2 linked regions of the Nothobranchius furzeri genome follow. The protein of the gene in region 1 binds, or shares a complex with, the protein of each later gene. Links are inferred from orthologs where the notes say so. Each region holds a gene or a part of one and is shown on either strand. Other genes may lie near its edges. The genes, in order: adat3 and adat2.

Region 1 (8,490 bases):
GTTTTCAGATGCCATGTGCATTACTAACTTATGTGAGTATTTAATTGTGTTTTTGACCTGCTTTGACCCGGGCTGGCCCAGGCATCAACAGGCTTTTTGTTGACCCAAATTTGCCTTTTTTTCTTTTGTCACATGGTGACAGATTTTATGAGTATTGTAGCCACAAGGATGCTATGAAGTATTTTCAAAGGTGTTAATTATCTGTTGGTGGAACTCTATGGCTCACTTCAATGTTGTCATGGGCGTTACCCTAAAAAACCCATTATTTGCATGATTTCATTACGTTAAACAAAATGGTCATCTTGTTTCATTGTCCTGCTTTTTTGATGTGTGTCCATTGTTTAGTGAGAGGTTTACAGTCGGTGTGGGAACCACTACAAACATGCAGCTGCTCCCTGTAGGTTGGACTTTAGCTATAGTCGAAGCAGCGAGTTCTGCTTTGTTTGGCCATAGCTGAAGGGGATATTTCTTGCTCCTAATCTTTAATAAAACGTGTCTGTCTGCTAGACGCTCCGTCTCTTTCTGCTTAAGTCCTTCTGGGATTTGTTCTTTTTGTTCTCTGATCAGATTTATTGTTACAATAATAAAAATTAACCAGAAAACTCATTAAAAATGTTGGAAAAGGAACAAAATATTACATGTTTAGCAAAGATGTAATTACTCTTCTTCATGATGGATTAGTATTTTGGTAAAGCCTAAAACAAGCTGGTTGAGTTTTACGTTCCTTCAGGTTATCACAAGATGATTTCGTGGTCTTTTAAAAGTCAAAGGCTTACAAAATAAACGGTTTAAATATCCTCATGTAAATTATTTATTATAGAACATGTTCACCCTCCGAGAGAATTTGGTTGGAAAAGTTGGTTTTATTCACCTGATGAAACAGAAATGGCTACTGCTTTTTAATTTAAACATTTCCACATGGATATACCTAAATCATGAAACGGTGTGACCTCATTTCTTAATCTGCAAACAGTCAAACCAAAAATCAGGATCAGAAACATTTCTACATAGTAAATCTTGTTTTTTATTCTCTGTGAGGTCTTGGTAATAAAATGTTTTGACGTAATTCACTTTAAACCATAACGAGGTCACATCCTGTTCAGGTGCTCACACTGGTCACTCAGAACTCCCCTGAAAACTTCAAAACGATGGTTCAGGTCTTTCCGAGAATGGATTTTAAACTTGGTCCCTAATGCTCCGTCTGCAGAGGCGGTGCCATAGAAAACCCGACCGATCCTGGAATGTACCAGAGCCATGGCGCACATAACACAAGGTTCTCTGGTCACATACAGGTCATACCCAGTGCATATGTACGGCCGAGGGCCCACCTCGGGATTGGACGCATTTATTTTTGGTGAAGTAAAGCTGCAGGCTGTAAAACTGTCAAAACGATAACATCCACTGCCCTGGCTCTGAGCTACAAGGTCGATACACACCATGACTGCATGATGCAGAGGGTGGTTGCCCCTGCAGTCATGGCCGACTGCTATGATCTGCTCCTTCTCGGGGTCAACAACTACTGCTCCAACCGCCTCCATCCCCAGATCCTTGGCAGCTTTAGCAGCGGTCAGAGCAGCCATCATGTACAAGTGCATCATGGCTTTCTGTTGGGGGCCGAAGAGTTCTCCTTTGAGTGCAACTGTCACCTGTTTGTCTTCATGAAAGGACGTGGGCCAGCGCCGGCTCGCCAGCTCAAACTGAGGTCGGGTCAACGGAGGCCAAGCAGGAATCTGCACCACAAAGGGCTCCCCTAGTCCTTCCCATTTAGCTCCATCCGAAGGTAAAAGAGAGTCGATGCTGACCACCTTCATGTCTGGAGCATCGCTGACGAGGCACAGCAGCACTTGCAACGGGTGGGGCCCATTCTCGTCCTTACAAGCTCGTACCCTCTTGATATGCTGAAGGCCACTGAGTGGATAGAGGGCGTTCAGCTCCCTGACAAGCCGAGACGTTGCTTTCTTGTTGGTGATGGGGGCAGCGAACGCGTCTACCAGCTCCACGTCTTGTGACTGCTCATCTGACAGGACAGGATAGGGGACCCAGGAGTCTGCATCACACGCTGACCCCTTCCAGCGTTTCGTCTGTGGCTCCATTGTTTTGATGTCCTCCTGTCAGCACATCAGCAGGACAGAGGACACGATGAGAAAGGATTTCAGCCACACTGGACAGAGATCAGCACAATGAAGCAGCATTCAGACACAAAGAGACCATCTTTCAGAGTTAGTGAAGCTAACAAAATCTGAGTGGTTTATGGTTCAGCTGTTACCAGTCACTGCAAATCAGAATGAGATAAGAAGTGGGACAGAATTCCTACTGAACCCAGAGACAGACTGATGAGAAGGGAGACAATTGCTGAGGTATTACCACTAAAGGCTGTCGGGTTAGGAAACATCAGTTTCAGCATTTATATTAAATTTCAGTGTTTAAATCTTAGATCTGAACGTTTAGTATAACAACATCATCTTTGGCACGCATTTTTCAAATATATGTTTAACTGTTTTTATTGAACCTATAAAGTAAGAAATGAGCAAACCAGTTTTAATATTCATTTTGCATGAGAATCACAGAAAGATGGATTTGAAAACAAACAGCTGCTTCCCTTTCAGAATAAAACTCCAGAACATTTAAATACAATATTCTCATTAATCAGTTACATCTGTTATCATATCAAGATTTGTTAAATCGTTACAAATGTTGCAGTACATTTAAACCAAACCCATACTGGAACTCTCTAGGACAATGCTGAAGACATTCCCTTTTAAAGCTAGGTCATATTTATGTACATGCTTTCCTTAAAAATAAATCAACTTTAGTACAATATGAAGCTTCAAGAGGTTATCAAGTCTTAATTAAATTAATTTTTTTAATATATTTAATCAACTCGTGGTGACTGTGCTGAAGCGATTCCATCATTTCCTTCCCAACATTAGTTTTGTTTTTATAACTTTGGGCACGTGTCTGATGGTGAGGGACACCCTGGTTCCTCGGGTCAGCGTCTCTCCGAGCTGGGCTCCAGCAGCAGACAGGTTTAGCACCTGGTCTGTTAGGTTGTCCTGGGAACAGCTCTGAATGCCATGAAGGAGATGCTGGTACATCTCATCCTGCAGGATCAGAAGACTGCGTGGCTGTAGCAGCAGGGAGAACAGGAATCGGTTCTCCTCGGTCTGCGGTGCTTCGTCCTCCAGGCTGCTGACGGGTCTGTAGAAGTCCAGCAGGGTGTGGGATCCCAGGCTGACAGTAGTGACAGTGGGGTGATACAGTGGACCATCTTCATGAGGCATAATCCCTTCACCTTGTTTATACTCGTTCACCAACACATGGTTGGCGGTTTTCCCACTGAACGCGCCAAGAGAAGATATTTTCTCACAGTAAGTCTGGAGCCAGTCAGGAATCGTCTCTGCCAGCATGCCTCTGGGATGGGGTGACCCTCCCCAGTTCTGGAGCCTTCTACCTGACAAATAAGTCCATTTAGTTTTGGGAGACTTATAGACCTGTTGCAGAAGGTAGGATTCCTCCTCTTCGGATATAAAATCTGGGATGTAAAACACTGTTTGAGGAGCAGTTTTTACAACAAGCTGCTTCAATTGTTCCAAAATACAAGTTGGATGATCCATGTTTCCCTTGGAAAAGGTAACATGAAATTCTTATTAGAATTCATGCACACAATGAACTGGAAGTATTTTTAAATATAAACCCTACCTAAATTAAAATTAGTAATCAAACAGAAGAAAAATACACCATGAACAAGTGATGTCATATCCTAAATGAGTTATAACTACCTCTTGCAGCCACTGGTGTTTTCTAGTACAAATTTAAACTTAATTATCCACTCTGAAATGAGATATGTACTGAAGTTGGTTTATTATGTTAATTATCTTAAAGCACAAAACCAAAAGTCTGGCTGCTGCACCTGGGGCATTACTGTCTGTTACATAAATACTAAAACACCTACCAGGTTAATGTCTTGTTACTGCGCTGGAGCAGACCGTCAGTTGTGCACAAATTTGTACGAAGGACTGAATGTTTTGGTTAATTTAGTAAAAACATAACTCAAAATAAGTCTCGATGAAAGGACCGTGGCACATTTAGAAGTACAACACAAATGAAAGTAACACCGTTTACAAACCGGAAGCGGAAAATTCCTAAACATTTTAACTTATAACACCGCTGATACAGTACAGCCATTAATATACACTTGGCATTAATTTATTACAGTTGTAAGCAAACGTTAAAGTTATATTTACCTCAGTAGATTACGGAAATTATGAATAAAAAAGCGTTTAGTCAAGCAGCCTGAGAACTGTCCGCCATAACTACTCACCTGTGTAACTTCGAAAAGTGTCCGGGTAACTAAACGCTGTGGTCTACGCTTCCCATCATGAGGTCGACGTTTTGTGTTTTTTAGTTTATTTAATAATAAAGTTAGGTCATCGTGTGTTACTAGATTATTCTAACTCACGGGTGGAACAAAAAAAAGACAATGTTCCGAACAAAGGTAGACTTTCTGCAGAGGTTTATACGGTGTAAACACACGTCTGGAAGGCCATTCTGCTCCAGACTTGTTTTAGGTATTGAGACAAGCTGCGACGAAACAGGAGCTGCTGTGTTAGACGAAACCGGTTCTATACTGGGCGAGTGTCTGCATTCACAGAAAGAAGAACATCTGAGGTAGGTTTCAGAGTGCAGAGCTACGGTTCCTTCAGTTCTAGGGTTTTTGTCAGGACATGAAAAAGTCCTCAAGTGTAATGTAAAAACGTGTTTGGAAACGGGTGAAATGTTAAAGGTCATGACAAGAATGGCTACTTAAGAAGAGTGTCAGGAGGAGAAATCATCCTCTCAGAAGGTCAGCTCAGGTCCATCAAGTTTCACCAGATCAAAGCTTTCCTGGGAGACCAAGGGGAGATGTTTACCCATAATGCACAGCAGCACAAACAGCTGATCCCAACCGTCCTCATTGTGATGGAGGTTCTGCTGGATCGGCGGCTGGACCCAGGTTTTCACATTTGCATATCTTCACAGTGCTTTTGCCTGTTACCAGTCACCTTGCAGACCTAACGATGACTAACTAGGTTATAGTTTAAAACACACTGTCACTTTGTTTCATATGTGTCTATTTGTTTTCCTCTCATACACCGCAGGACGGGTGGGATCATCCCCACAGTAGCACAGCAGCTCCACAGAGACAACATAGAGCGTGTGGTCTGGGAGACGTTGGAGAAGAGCGGCGTGACCCCGAGCCAGCTTTCTGCCGTGGCCACCACCGTAAAGCCGGGCTTGGCCCTGAGCCTGAGCGTTGGTCTGGAGTTCAGTCTAAGGTTTGTGAGACAGCATAACAGACTCTTCATCCCTATCCACCACATGGAGGCCCACGCTCTGACCGTCAGGATGCTCCACCCTCTTTTCTTCCCCTTTCTGGTGCTGCTCGTTTCTGGAGGCCACTCGCTTCTCGCTGTGGCTCAGGGAGTTGATGACTTCCTGCTGTTGGGTCATGCATTGGATGAAGCTCCGGGGGATACGCTTGATAAAGTGAGGTGAATTGATTTTGGCTGCAGATCCTAATTCTCTGCTCATAAAATCATCTACGTTTTGTGGATTCTCAGGTGGCGAGACGTCTGTCCCTCAGCAAACACCCACAGTGCTGCACACTGAGTGGAGGACAAGCTATCGAGCTTCTGGCTAAAGATGGAGACAGGAAGAGGTTTTATTTCACGACCCCTATGGGTAAAACTCCTGACTGCTGCTTTTCTTTTGCTGGACTCAGGAACCAGATTACGATGACTATAAAGAAAAAGGAGGCAGAGGAAGGTCTGAGAAGTTTCCTGAATGTCATCTGTAGCTAACTTGCAGTGTGACTCGTGACTGTGAGTTCCTCTTCGTAGGTGTAGGAGAAGGAACGTTGCTGTCGTGTGTCAACGATCTAGCAGCAGCCGCTCAGCACACCGTCGCCTCGCATCTTGCAGAGCGTACACATCGCGCCATCCTGTTCTGTAAGGCTAACAGCCTGCTGCCAGCAGATAATCCCACTCTGGTGAGTGCTTCTTCTAATCCTGGAATTAATCATCCATCAAATCCTGCTTTTCAATCTGCAACAAACTCGTGGAAAAAGAGTTTCAGTAAAGTCACATCACTTTGTAATATTTGTATTTGACCTGCACAAATAGACCAGATTTCTGGTCCCTTCTCCAACTCCTCAAGATGTTCTGGTGTCACCTCTAGATGCCTTCGTTCTTTCTTGAGGTTTGATCAGTTTGGTGATTTTATCATTGGGAGATCCTCTGAGCAGTTGTTCTCAGAAGCTCTTCTATTGAGACAAATCGAGGTTTCTTTTGCCTTTTTGAATAAAATACACAATCTGCTCGAAATTCTCCCTTTTGAGACCTTATTACAGAAATAAAACATCTGGGTTAAATACAGTCATGAAGGATTTAAAATAAAACTTTAGAACCTCATCCTTTTACTTTAATTTTCTCAGATATTCGTGATCCCACGTGTAGATTTGACTGATAGAGCCTTTCCAGGTGGTGTCTGGAGGAGTTGCCAGTAACCGGTACATCCGAAAGGTTCTGGCGATCATCACCGAGTGGACCGGACTCAGTCTGCTCTGTCCTCCTGGTAAACTGTGCACTGATAACGGTGTGATGGTTGCATGGTGTGTGAACAGTCTCATCAGATTGATTTCATCCAGAATTATCCAAGACACTCATTTAACTTTGTCCTGAACAGGAATGGTGTTGAGCGTCTGAGGGAAGGGAGAGGGATTCTGCTGCCAAACCAGGACGTCCGCTATGAGCCAAAGTGAGTGAATACTGAGAGAGACGGTTTTATTCTGCAGATTAAATCAGCTTTATGCATGTTTTTTTATTCAGGGCACCTCTGGGTGTTGACATCTCAGCAGAGGTGAGGGCAGCTGCCATCAGACTCCCACGAGTCAGGATGAAGATCCAAAATAACATTTAGAAACACAAAATAATTAGTAAATAACCCATTGTACTGATATTTATTAATAAATGTATTTTTGAACAGATTTTAGAGAGTGTTTTATTTTTTATGGTTATCTAAACTGATCTGATGTCAGATCCTAACATTTGTTCAAAAACAGCTGTTAATGACGTATAACAATAAATAAAAGTAACTGAAGATAAAATTAGTTCCAGGAGAATAGTTACCATCAAGAACCGGTTTCTGAGAGGAGTTTGTTTTAAAGGGCTGCCCTCTGTTGGTGAGTCAGTGGATGTATGACAAAAGTTTTCCCAAAAATTTAATTTTCCGTTTTTCAGTAAATATAAACAAACACCTGAAAAACACCATCTTCACAAACTGATTCCTCAGTGTTTGGATTATGACACGATAAACTCTTCAAAACAAAAAAGGTTGTTTTTTTAGGGTAAATTTAGAAAAATAATTTTTTTCCTAAGAATTTGCCCTTTCTCGCCGAATTCCAGCTCCATCCCAGTGACTGTGCTTTCAGAAGCTCATTTCCTAAAACTATTATTATGCTCTGTAGACTTTCAGCTCTAATTTCCCTTACAACTCTGAAGGTAATTTGGCAGAAGTGTGTGAGTTTTGCCCTGAAGAACTAAACCGTTTTGATAGATACTAATTCTGGGTCTAATCCTGACCCTTCACCTGTCAACAGGTAAAAATTTTCCACAGGGATGTTTCTACTTCCTATAACTGTTCTTTCACTGTTAGTCTGGAGTCACACAGAGCAGAGGGTAAAAACATTCAGGGTAACCTGGAAAAGACGTTTGATTTGATTTAACCCAACTTCTAACAGTTTATAGTTCTGCTCATCATCCCCACATTCTGGGTCTCATGATTTAATCTTTGTTCTGCAAAACAAATCTGAAGCACATCCGTTCTAACAAGAATCTTCATTTGTGCCAAAGACCGATGCTAACATTAAAGAGCAAGTCACCTCCAAATCAACATTTTTCCCCCTGATAAACTATATAAATGTGTGTCTAATCGTGCTGCAGACACGTGTAGTCAATAGTTTTGCAAAAGGAAGTTCTGTCTGTTTGTTGCAACCACCAGGTACAAAAACGAACTTGATTTTATTTGAATATTTTTCTGTCCTGTCTGTTTATTATCTTCCTGCATCTCCTCTCAGTCCTAAAGAAAAACTGCTACCTGGGTTCATATATATTCACCTTATGAGTTACCTTTGAACTGCAGTTCTAAAAGATCTACCGACCGCAAAAACAGCGGAGAGCGTGCCGGCTGCACCGGTGAGGTGCGTCACCGGAGGACAAAACAGGTGATGCGCCCCGATCCACAGCAGCGAAACGCATCAGGCACAAATAAAAGACAGAAAACATAAAAGGAAATGAGCTGACATGCACGATCGCGTGTTAAATTAGTTTTTGAGGTGGCGACACCTGATTTGATAATGTTACTGTGGTCGTGCTCAGGACGCAGATGTCTGGAGCGCGTCAACAATCAGAGCTTTGCAGGCACAAGCTGGTTAAGGTTAGGATGGGGGTGAGG
Region 2 (7,772 bases), on another chromosome or scaffold:
TGCGTTCTCATCTTTGATTAATCCTGGTAAACAGGTCTGTTTTTGTTCTGTTCTAATTCTCTCTGTTTAATCAATTTAAACAAAATGACTTAGCTATTTTATTTAATTTTTTTTTCTCTGCATAAAGACGAAGTATCAGTAAATAGTGGAAATTAAATGTATTGGTAGTAAGCAAATAGCAGATGTTAAATGTTACTTGCAGTATGTGTTTATAGAAAAAATAGAGATACTAAAATGTACTAAAAGAATATTACGTCAAGTTTACTGTAAAGTGTACTTTCAAAACTAAGTATACTCAATTATATAAGAAGTACACTACAAGTAAACATATTACTTTAAGTATAATTTTAAGTATACATTCAAAGAGAAAAGTATACTCAATTATTTCTGAAGTACACTACAAGTAAACTTATAATGTTACTTAAAGTTTATTTTTAAGTGTACTTTCAAGGGCAAAAGTTTACTCAATTTTATTAGAAGTAAACTTATACTGTTACTTTTAAGTATACTTTCAATGAGAAAAGTATACTCGACTATATCAGGAGTACACTACAAGTAAACTTATATTGTTACTTTTAAAAATACTTCCAAGGAGAAAATTATACTCAATTATATCAGAGGTACACTACAAGTAAACTTAAAAGTATACTTTCAAGGAGAAAAGTACTCAATTATATCTGAAGTACTCTATAAGTAAACTTATATTGTTACTTAAAGTATATTTTAAGTACATTCAAGAAGAAAAGTATACTCAATTGTATGAAAAGTAAACTTATATTGTTACTTTAAGTATACTTTCAAGGACAAAAGTATACTTAATTATTTCAGAAGAACACTCCAAGTACACTTGTGATGTTACTTTAAGTATACTTTCAAAGAGAAATGTATACTCAATTATATCAGAAGTACACTACAAATAAACTTAAATTATTACTTTGAAGTATACTTGTAGTATACTTCAAGTATACTTTAGTGGCCCAATTTAGTCCCAAGGAGTATACTTCTAAGTAAACGTTATCTTCCGACATGTTTTCACAAGCAGTGTATGTGATAAAATCCGTTTGAGTCAGATTTTGCCTGGGTGTTGTCTAGCAACGGTAAAGGGTCACCTTCCCGGTGTGTGTTCTTATCCTCCAGGGGGACCTCCAGAACCACTCTTTCAACCGTGACTTTATCACGATTACGTTATCTTCCGACATGTTTTCACAAGCAGTGTATGTGATAAAATCCGTTTGAGTCAGATTTTGCCTGGGTGTTTAGCAACGGTAAAGGGTCACCTTCCCGGTGTGTGTTCTTGATATCCTCCTTGGGGACCTTCAGAACAACTCTTTCAACCGTGACTTTCTCTATCACAATAACGTTATCTTCCGACATGTTTTCACAAGCAGTGTATATGTGATAAAACCCGTTTGAGTCAGATTTTGCCTGGGTGTTGTCTAGCAACGGTAAACGACTCCGAAGTTGCAGTTACGGGATTCGAATACACGAGGGAAGCACGCGCTCAGACGTTCCAATCCAACTTTATTTTCTAAACCACTTCTAAACCAGCACATAAACAAAATAGCCCTGTGTCTAAATAAAAACAAGGGAGGGTCATCAGTATATTCAACAGAAAGTCTGTAAAGTGAGAATCATGTCGGTAATGTTTTATTGTTGCTTTTAAACACAGCAGCTTACTAAATGCAGTGTTTATCAACTACTTTCATATTAGCATATTCTTCTTCTTACAAAAAATAATAACAATAATCATAATGAAGAATGCACAAATATTTTCCGGACACATGAACTTCTTTTTTTTTTAAATGTCAAATGAAAGCAAAATGCTGTTTAATTATGGGTCAAACTTGTTTTTGGTCACAACTAATCAATTTCATTGAGGTTTAATGTTTTTAATGTATTTTCTCTTTAGGTATGTGAAGGAGACGATTTTCTCCAGCTTTTAGGAAATCAGCTGCAAGGGAAAGAGGAAGAATTAGCTGATTCTTTTTCCCTATTAAATCAATTATTTTTGGTGTTAAAATAGTATCTCTCACACACACACACACACACAATGCGTGCATGCATGTGGACACATCGTGACAGCTTGATGTGTGGGAGCGATCTGTGTGCTGATGGTCGACATCTTGCATCACAGCGTGAAACGTTTGGAGCTGATGTCGCCAATCAGAACCATGGATAACACACACACACACAGTGGTTTGTTTTACATCTGCAGTTTCACTACAAACTTCTGCCTCCATGATTCCACAAACCAATAAACCCCCCAAATCCTCAGAAATGTTAAACTTTATGATTTTTGACATTTAGTTTTAACTGCAGCTTCATGTTTCTGTGTTTTCCTCTTCATTCAGTTTTACAGGTCAGCTGGTAAAGAGCGCCCATGCTGGGGAACTGGAGAAATGAGGAAATAAGACATTAAAAGTCATTATCTAGAAATAAAAATGATTTTATTACAATAAAAATCTATAAAATACACATTAAAACAATTTGTTCAGGTCAGTCCTTCCTTGGTTTGGGCTTTGGGGCTGAAACAGACAAAAGAATAATTGATTTTAATTCTCTGAGCAAATGAATTGGAATAAATCAGTTGTCAGAACTGAAACGATTTCTGATGTAAAGGTATTTTTGTCAGAAAGAGTTAAATAACTTTTCAGTAACATCAACATTGGTTTATTAGCTGGTCAGTAATCAAACATTTTACCATTTGGATTTTCTTGCTTATAGAAAGTTTTGAGCATCTCTATGGCTTCTTCTGCTCTGTGGCCTGAAACACACTGAACACACGTGTTTATAAAACAGTGAGCAGCTGGTCAACGTGGCACAAATGAATAAACACCTTAAATGTGGTCCCAGTGTGAGGAAGGTCTGCAGAGGAAATGTCCAGAACTGATCCGCACCCCCCAAAACGCTCGTTTCTGCAACCGTAGGCAACCACGGGGATATCTGGGAGCTGGTTAAGGACAACAAACACACACACACACACACACTCTCAGGTCGGGGGAGGATACTGACGAGGCGCAGGGCTGCGGCACACATGATGCACGGCTCCACTGTGACGTACAGGACAGTCTGCTCACACACGCTCTTTGTGTCCAGGTTGCTATGGCGACACCAGTCCAAGACCTGGTCCAAGGAGACCATCTCAGCGTGACGAGTTGCCTGAAAACCATCAGAAATTTTGAACTGGTCTCATGATGAAGCCAACACAGTTTTAGCTCCTGGAGACCACCAGGATCTTATGTCCTGACTGATCCTGCTGTAAGGCTCTTTAAAGGTTGTTTAGATTTTTCCTACATTTTTAGTCTCGTTGACTTCATTCCTCCCTCTCCCCACCACTTCATCCTTGTAAACCATCAGACATCCTACAGGAACTTCTCCGTTCTCCAGAGCATCTCTGGCCTGCAGAAACACATTCAACATTCAGCTCACCACCACCAGGCGCCTTATACTCCTGAACCAGAAATATCTAACACACGTTTCAGCCAATCAAACAAAACAATTCCTGTTCGTTTTCATTTGGTTGATACCAACTTATGATTACAAAATCATTTATCATAAAAACTTATTTAAAAAAATTAAATGTTTCTTCGCTACATTTGAATGAAGACATTACCATTTCAAAAGCGCTGCACATCCATTTCTCTATTTCCTCATCAGTCGGACAAAACCGCTCCAAAGAATCAGGATTTTCACCCTCCTCTGATCCCATGGCGTCAGGAGTGATGTAAAATATCTTTGAAACTGGAGATATTTAGTTAAATTCAGTTTTTGGAGCGTATTTTCAGCTTTTAGTCACTCATTTGAAGCGCTTAGCACAGTGGGGGAAGATAATATTAAACGGACCACTTTCGGATGCGACCAATCACCTTTCTCACAAATTGTGCGCTAAAACCGGAAGTAGAATGTTCCCACAAATGTCAGGAAGATTTGCCAGGACCAATTATTTTATAGTTCTCATTGATTATAGAACAGCACTTAATTAGTACAACCGTTTCTTTATTTTAATGTGACGTGGATTCGCAATTCTATTATCTAATGATCATTTGCACTTCCGTTGCCCAGAGCGTTTTATTTTGAAGTCCTAAACCGGATGTCTCAGCTACACCCTTGATCAGCAAATTTGTGACAGTTAGCTTGGTAGCTAAGAGCTGCAGTCAGAAACTCTTCCACTAAAATGTTTATTAAAAAGTGAAGCCAAGAGATAAAAGTGCGGAGGGGTTTTGGAGTTCTACTTTCCTGAAGATGTTTTCGTCTGTCTGGAATTTTATAAAACGCCATAAAAAGAAATTCATTTTCACCGGAGCAGTCGTTGGAGGTAAGGGGGTAGTCCCCACACACGCCGGACACCACGAATAAACCCTTTAAAAACTAGTTTTGGTGATAAAATGAACCATGTGTATTTTAAAAGTTATTTAAAGAGCGATTAGGAACATTAAGATGATCTTTTTTTCGGCTTTAGAATACTTTACCGATTCAAATATAAAATGTTTTTGTCATATTTGTCAAAACTAAAAATGCTTACAGATATGTATTTTTTATCTCTGTGCTGCACAACATCACATTTCTCCCTGTCTCTGATGTAAACATGATTCACTGTAGTGAAACTTTATGTGAGGATCATGTGAGCCTTGCGCGGTTCTGGAGGAATTCTGGCCCACTTATGAGTTGTGGGATTTGCACCATTTGCTCCCCAACGTCTCATCACAAGCTTTCGGTGGGGGTGGAGGTCTGGACTTTGATCATTGCCACATGATTCTAGCTGCGTTTGGGATCCGTGTCCAGATTTATTACCCAGTCTGGTTTTCATGGTCTCATTTTTGCTGGGAGCCCAAACCATCACCCCTCCACCACCTTGTCCACAGCTAGCGGGAGCGGTTTGGGTTTCTCCTAACGTTCTGCTGTGCCATCCATCCATCCATCCATTTTCATCTGCTTATCCGGGAGTCAGGTCGCGGGGGCAGTAGCCTAAGGCTAGAGGCCCAGACTTCCCTCTCCCCAGCCACTTGGGCCAGCTCCTCTGGGGGAATCCCAAGGCGTTCCCTGGCCAGGTGAGAGACATAGTCCCTCCACCGTGTCCTGGGTCTACCTTTAGGCCTCCTCCCGGTTGGACGTGCCCGGAAAACCTCACCAGGGAGGCGTCCAGGAGGCATCCTGTCCAGATGCCCGAGCCACCTCAACTGGCTCCTCTCGATGTGGAGGAGCAGCGGGTCTACTCCGAGCCCCTCCCGAATGACTGAGCTTCTCACCCTATCTCTAAGGGAGAGCCCAGCCGCTCTTCGGATAAAACTCATTTCGGCCGCTTGTATCCGTGATCTCGTTCTTTCTGTCACTACCCAAAGCTCATGACCATAGGTGAAGGTAGGAACGTAGATCGACCGGTAAATAGAGAGCTTCGCCTTCCGACTCAACTCTCTCTTCACCACGACAGACTGGTGCAATGGCCGCATCACTGCAGATGCAGCACCAATCCGCCTATTCACGCTCCAGTTTTCCCTCACTTGTGAACAAGACCCCGAGATACTCAAACTCCTCCACTTGGGGCAGGACCTCATCCCTGACCTGGAGAGGGCATTCTACCATTTTCTCATGGTCTCAGATTTAGAGGAGCTGATTCTCATCCCAGCTGCGTCACACTCAGCTGCAAACCGCTCCAGCGAAAACTGAAGATCACGTTCTGATGAAGCCAACAGGACCACATCATCTGCAAAAAGCAGAGACCTGATCCTCAGGCCACCATAATGGATATCCTCAACACCTTGGCTGCGCCCATAAATCCTGTCCATGAAGGTTATGAACAGAATCGGTGACAAAGGGCAGCCTTGGCAGAGTCCAACTCTCCCTGGGAACGAGCCCGACTTACTGCCGGCAATGCTGACCAAGCTCTGACACCGGTCATACAGCCCATATCAGAGGGCTCTGCTGTGCATTATGGGTAAACACCACTTTGGTCCAAAGGCTATTGCTCTAGAAGTCTTGTTCAGGATTTCTCCTGCAGCCTTTCTAAGCCGGCCACACTTGTTCAGTGTTTCCTGACCTGCAGCATTAACACACACCTGTATGCTCCGGAGCAGCTGAGCTCTTCTCTGCTGCAGTTCTCTGAACTCCTATGGAACCAGGTTCGGGTTTGGTTCCTGTTAAAATCTGTTTAGTATTTTTCTTTCAAAGCTGAATAATAACAGATGGCTTCTTTTGCTATTTAGTTTAAAAAATATCAGAATATAACGGATCCCCCCACGGTGCTGCAGCTGGCCCTCCATGTTTTTGTGTTCACCTCCTATTTGGTTCCTTCTCAGGAGTTTACATTTTTGGAAGATATGCCCAAAAGAAGATCAGAGACATCCAAGAGAAGGAGGCGACGGAGTACATCGCCCAGGCCAGACGGCAGTTCCACTTCGAGAGCAACCAGCGAACCTGCAACATGACCGGTAGGGTTAGGGTAAGGGCTAGGGTCGGCCTGAGCTGAGGAGCGAGGCTCACCGTTTCTGTGTTTCAGTTCTGTCGATGCTCCCGCCGCTCAGAGAGGCCGTCGTCGCTCAGCTGAACTCCGAGACGCTCACCGCGCTGCTGAAGACCAAGTCAGACGACACATTAGCGTTCCCATCATCAGACTTTATTCTGTTATCTAACACAAAATACACATTTGCTTGTTTTAGGTGTTTAAATAAAGATGTTTAAATCTTTTTCCTCCAGACCAGCTAATAAACTGGAGATCTGGGAAGATTTAAAAATCATCAGTAAGTTTTAAACTCGGCAGAACATTTGATTAAAGTATTTTTTTTCTGGCCTCCTGAGACTCAGGATCTGTTGTTTGTGGTCTTCAGGCTTCACCCGCACCATCGTGGCCGTCTACAGCACTTGCATGCTGGTGGTTCTCCTTCGAGTGCAGCTCAACATCATCGGAGGTTACCTGTACCTGGATAACTCTGTAGGGAAGAGCATAACGGTGAGGATGGAGCTGCACCACGCGCTGCAGGTGTGGAAGCTCGGCAGGGAAATGGAAAGAAACGAGGATCTGATGTTTGCTTTTTATTACCCAGAATCCTCTGGCTCCTGCAGACGTCCAGCAGCAGTACTTGTCCAGCATCCAGCATCTCCTCGGAGACGGTAGGGGACAGATCTCCTCCTGCAGATTGACTTCAGACCCTAGCGTGTGTGTGGGTTGTGTAACGTCTCCGCGCGTCTCCCCAGGGTTAAACGAGTTAATAACAGTGGTGAAGAGGGCCGTGCAGCGCTCGCTGGGAAGGTGAGTTTTAGGTTTCTGTCTGCAAAACGTCCGAAAGTCACACATTTTTATTTGTGTGATCGCATGATTGTGGTGTACGGAGAGCCAAAAGTGCCACAATACAATAAAAAATAAAGAATTCAGTATTTATTTAACATGTCTTAAACTTAAAAAGTCTTATTTATTGAATCATAAAACAAAACCTTAAAGTTTTTAAAATATGTTTTTATATTTTAGTCTCATTCGTGTCAGATTTGAGTTATTTGTTGATTTTGGCCCTTCTGGCCCTCCGTAGTAGAACAGCAGTTGACGAGTCTCCCGTTGGTGTCCAGCGTGTCTCTGAAGCAGAGTTTGTCCCTGCTGGAGCTGGAGCAGCAGCTGAGCTGGATCAGAGCCGAGGTGGAGTCCGACTCGGAGCGCCCGATGTCCCGCTTCCTGCTGGCGGACGACGAGAACGCCCTGGCTGAGCAGGTGAGCGGCGAGGCCCGACCACGGCGGCGCTCACTGATGAATAATAACCGTGATGTTTGTGCCGCCCGTTCAGGCGTGT

The links.
Region 2: the proteins of adat3 (region 1) and adat2 are in contact, whole or in part, in a crystal structure (PDB 9HMM), measured with the Mus musculus proteins. The link is inferred for Nothobranchius furzeri from reciprocal best matches to the Homo sapiens genes ADAT3 and ADAT2. Residues at the interface, in NP_001094076.1 of Mus musculus: Val217, Ala218, Pro220, Leu221, His223, Ile229, Asp230, Ala233, Gln236, Gly237, Glu270, Ser272, Pro274, Val276, Val290, Met291, Met294, Ala295, His298, Ala299, Pro311, Asp312, Leu318, Phe319, Val321, Arg324, Asp326, Leu327, Asn328, Pro349; in NP_080024.3 of Mus musculus: Val62, Asn63, Lys66, Asn67, Ala68, Thr69, His71, Met74, Ile77, Leu81, His85, Pro91, Cys107, Ile108, Met109, Ala112, Ala113, Leu116, Met117, Arg130, Phe131, Val137, Leu138, Ile140, Asp144, Leu145, Pro146, Asn147, Thr148.

Annotation. Positions count from the first base shown.
Region 1 is NC_091747.1:23,889,152-23,897,641, forward strand, and holds adat3 (probable inactive tRNA-specific adenosine deaminase-like protein 3), read right to left. Parts: upstream 4,459-8,490; 5' UTR 4,322-4,458; exon of another isoform or gene 4,245-4,321; intron 4,092-4,244; exon of another isoform or gene 3,953-4,091; intron 3,621-3,952; exon of another isoform or gene 3,615-3,620; coding exon of another isoform or gene 2,910-3,614; exon of another isoform or gene 2,717-2,909; intron 2,109-2,716; 5' UTR 2,094-2,108; coding exon 1,089-2,093; 3' UTR 928-1,088; downstream 1-927. Other genes in the region: alkbh6 (alpha-ketoglutarate-dependent dioxygenase alkB homolog 6), read right to left, coding at 2,910-3,614; osgepl1 (tRNA N6-adenosine threonylcarbamoyltransferase, mitochondrial), read left to right, coding at 4,481-4,668, 5,139-5,526, 5,601-5,805, 5,880-6,028, 6,519-6,649, 6,724-6,795, 6,867-6,957.
Region 2 is NC_091742.1:15,093,528-15,101,299, reverse strand, and holds adat2 (tRNA-specific adenosine deaminase 2), read right to left. Parts: upstream 3,847-7,772; 5' UTR 3,710-3,846; coding exon 3,614-3,709; intron 3,400-3,613; coding exon 3,295-3,399; intron 3,160-3,294; coding exon 3,009-3,159; intron 2,944-3,008; coding exon 2,837-2,943; intron 2,775-2,836; coding exon 2,702-2,774; intron 2,526-2,701; coding exon 2,497-2,525; 3' UTR 2,370-2,496; downstream 1-2,369. Other genes in the region: pex3 (peroxisomal biogenesis factor 3), read left to right, coding at 4,243-4,315, 6,294-6,425, 6,494-6,575, 6,691-6,734, 6,822-6,943, 7,038-7,104, 7,189-7,243, 7,555-7,693 and 1 more. UniProt on the Homo sapiens protein: Probably participates in deamination of adenosine-34 to inosine in many tRNAs.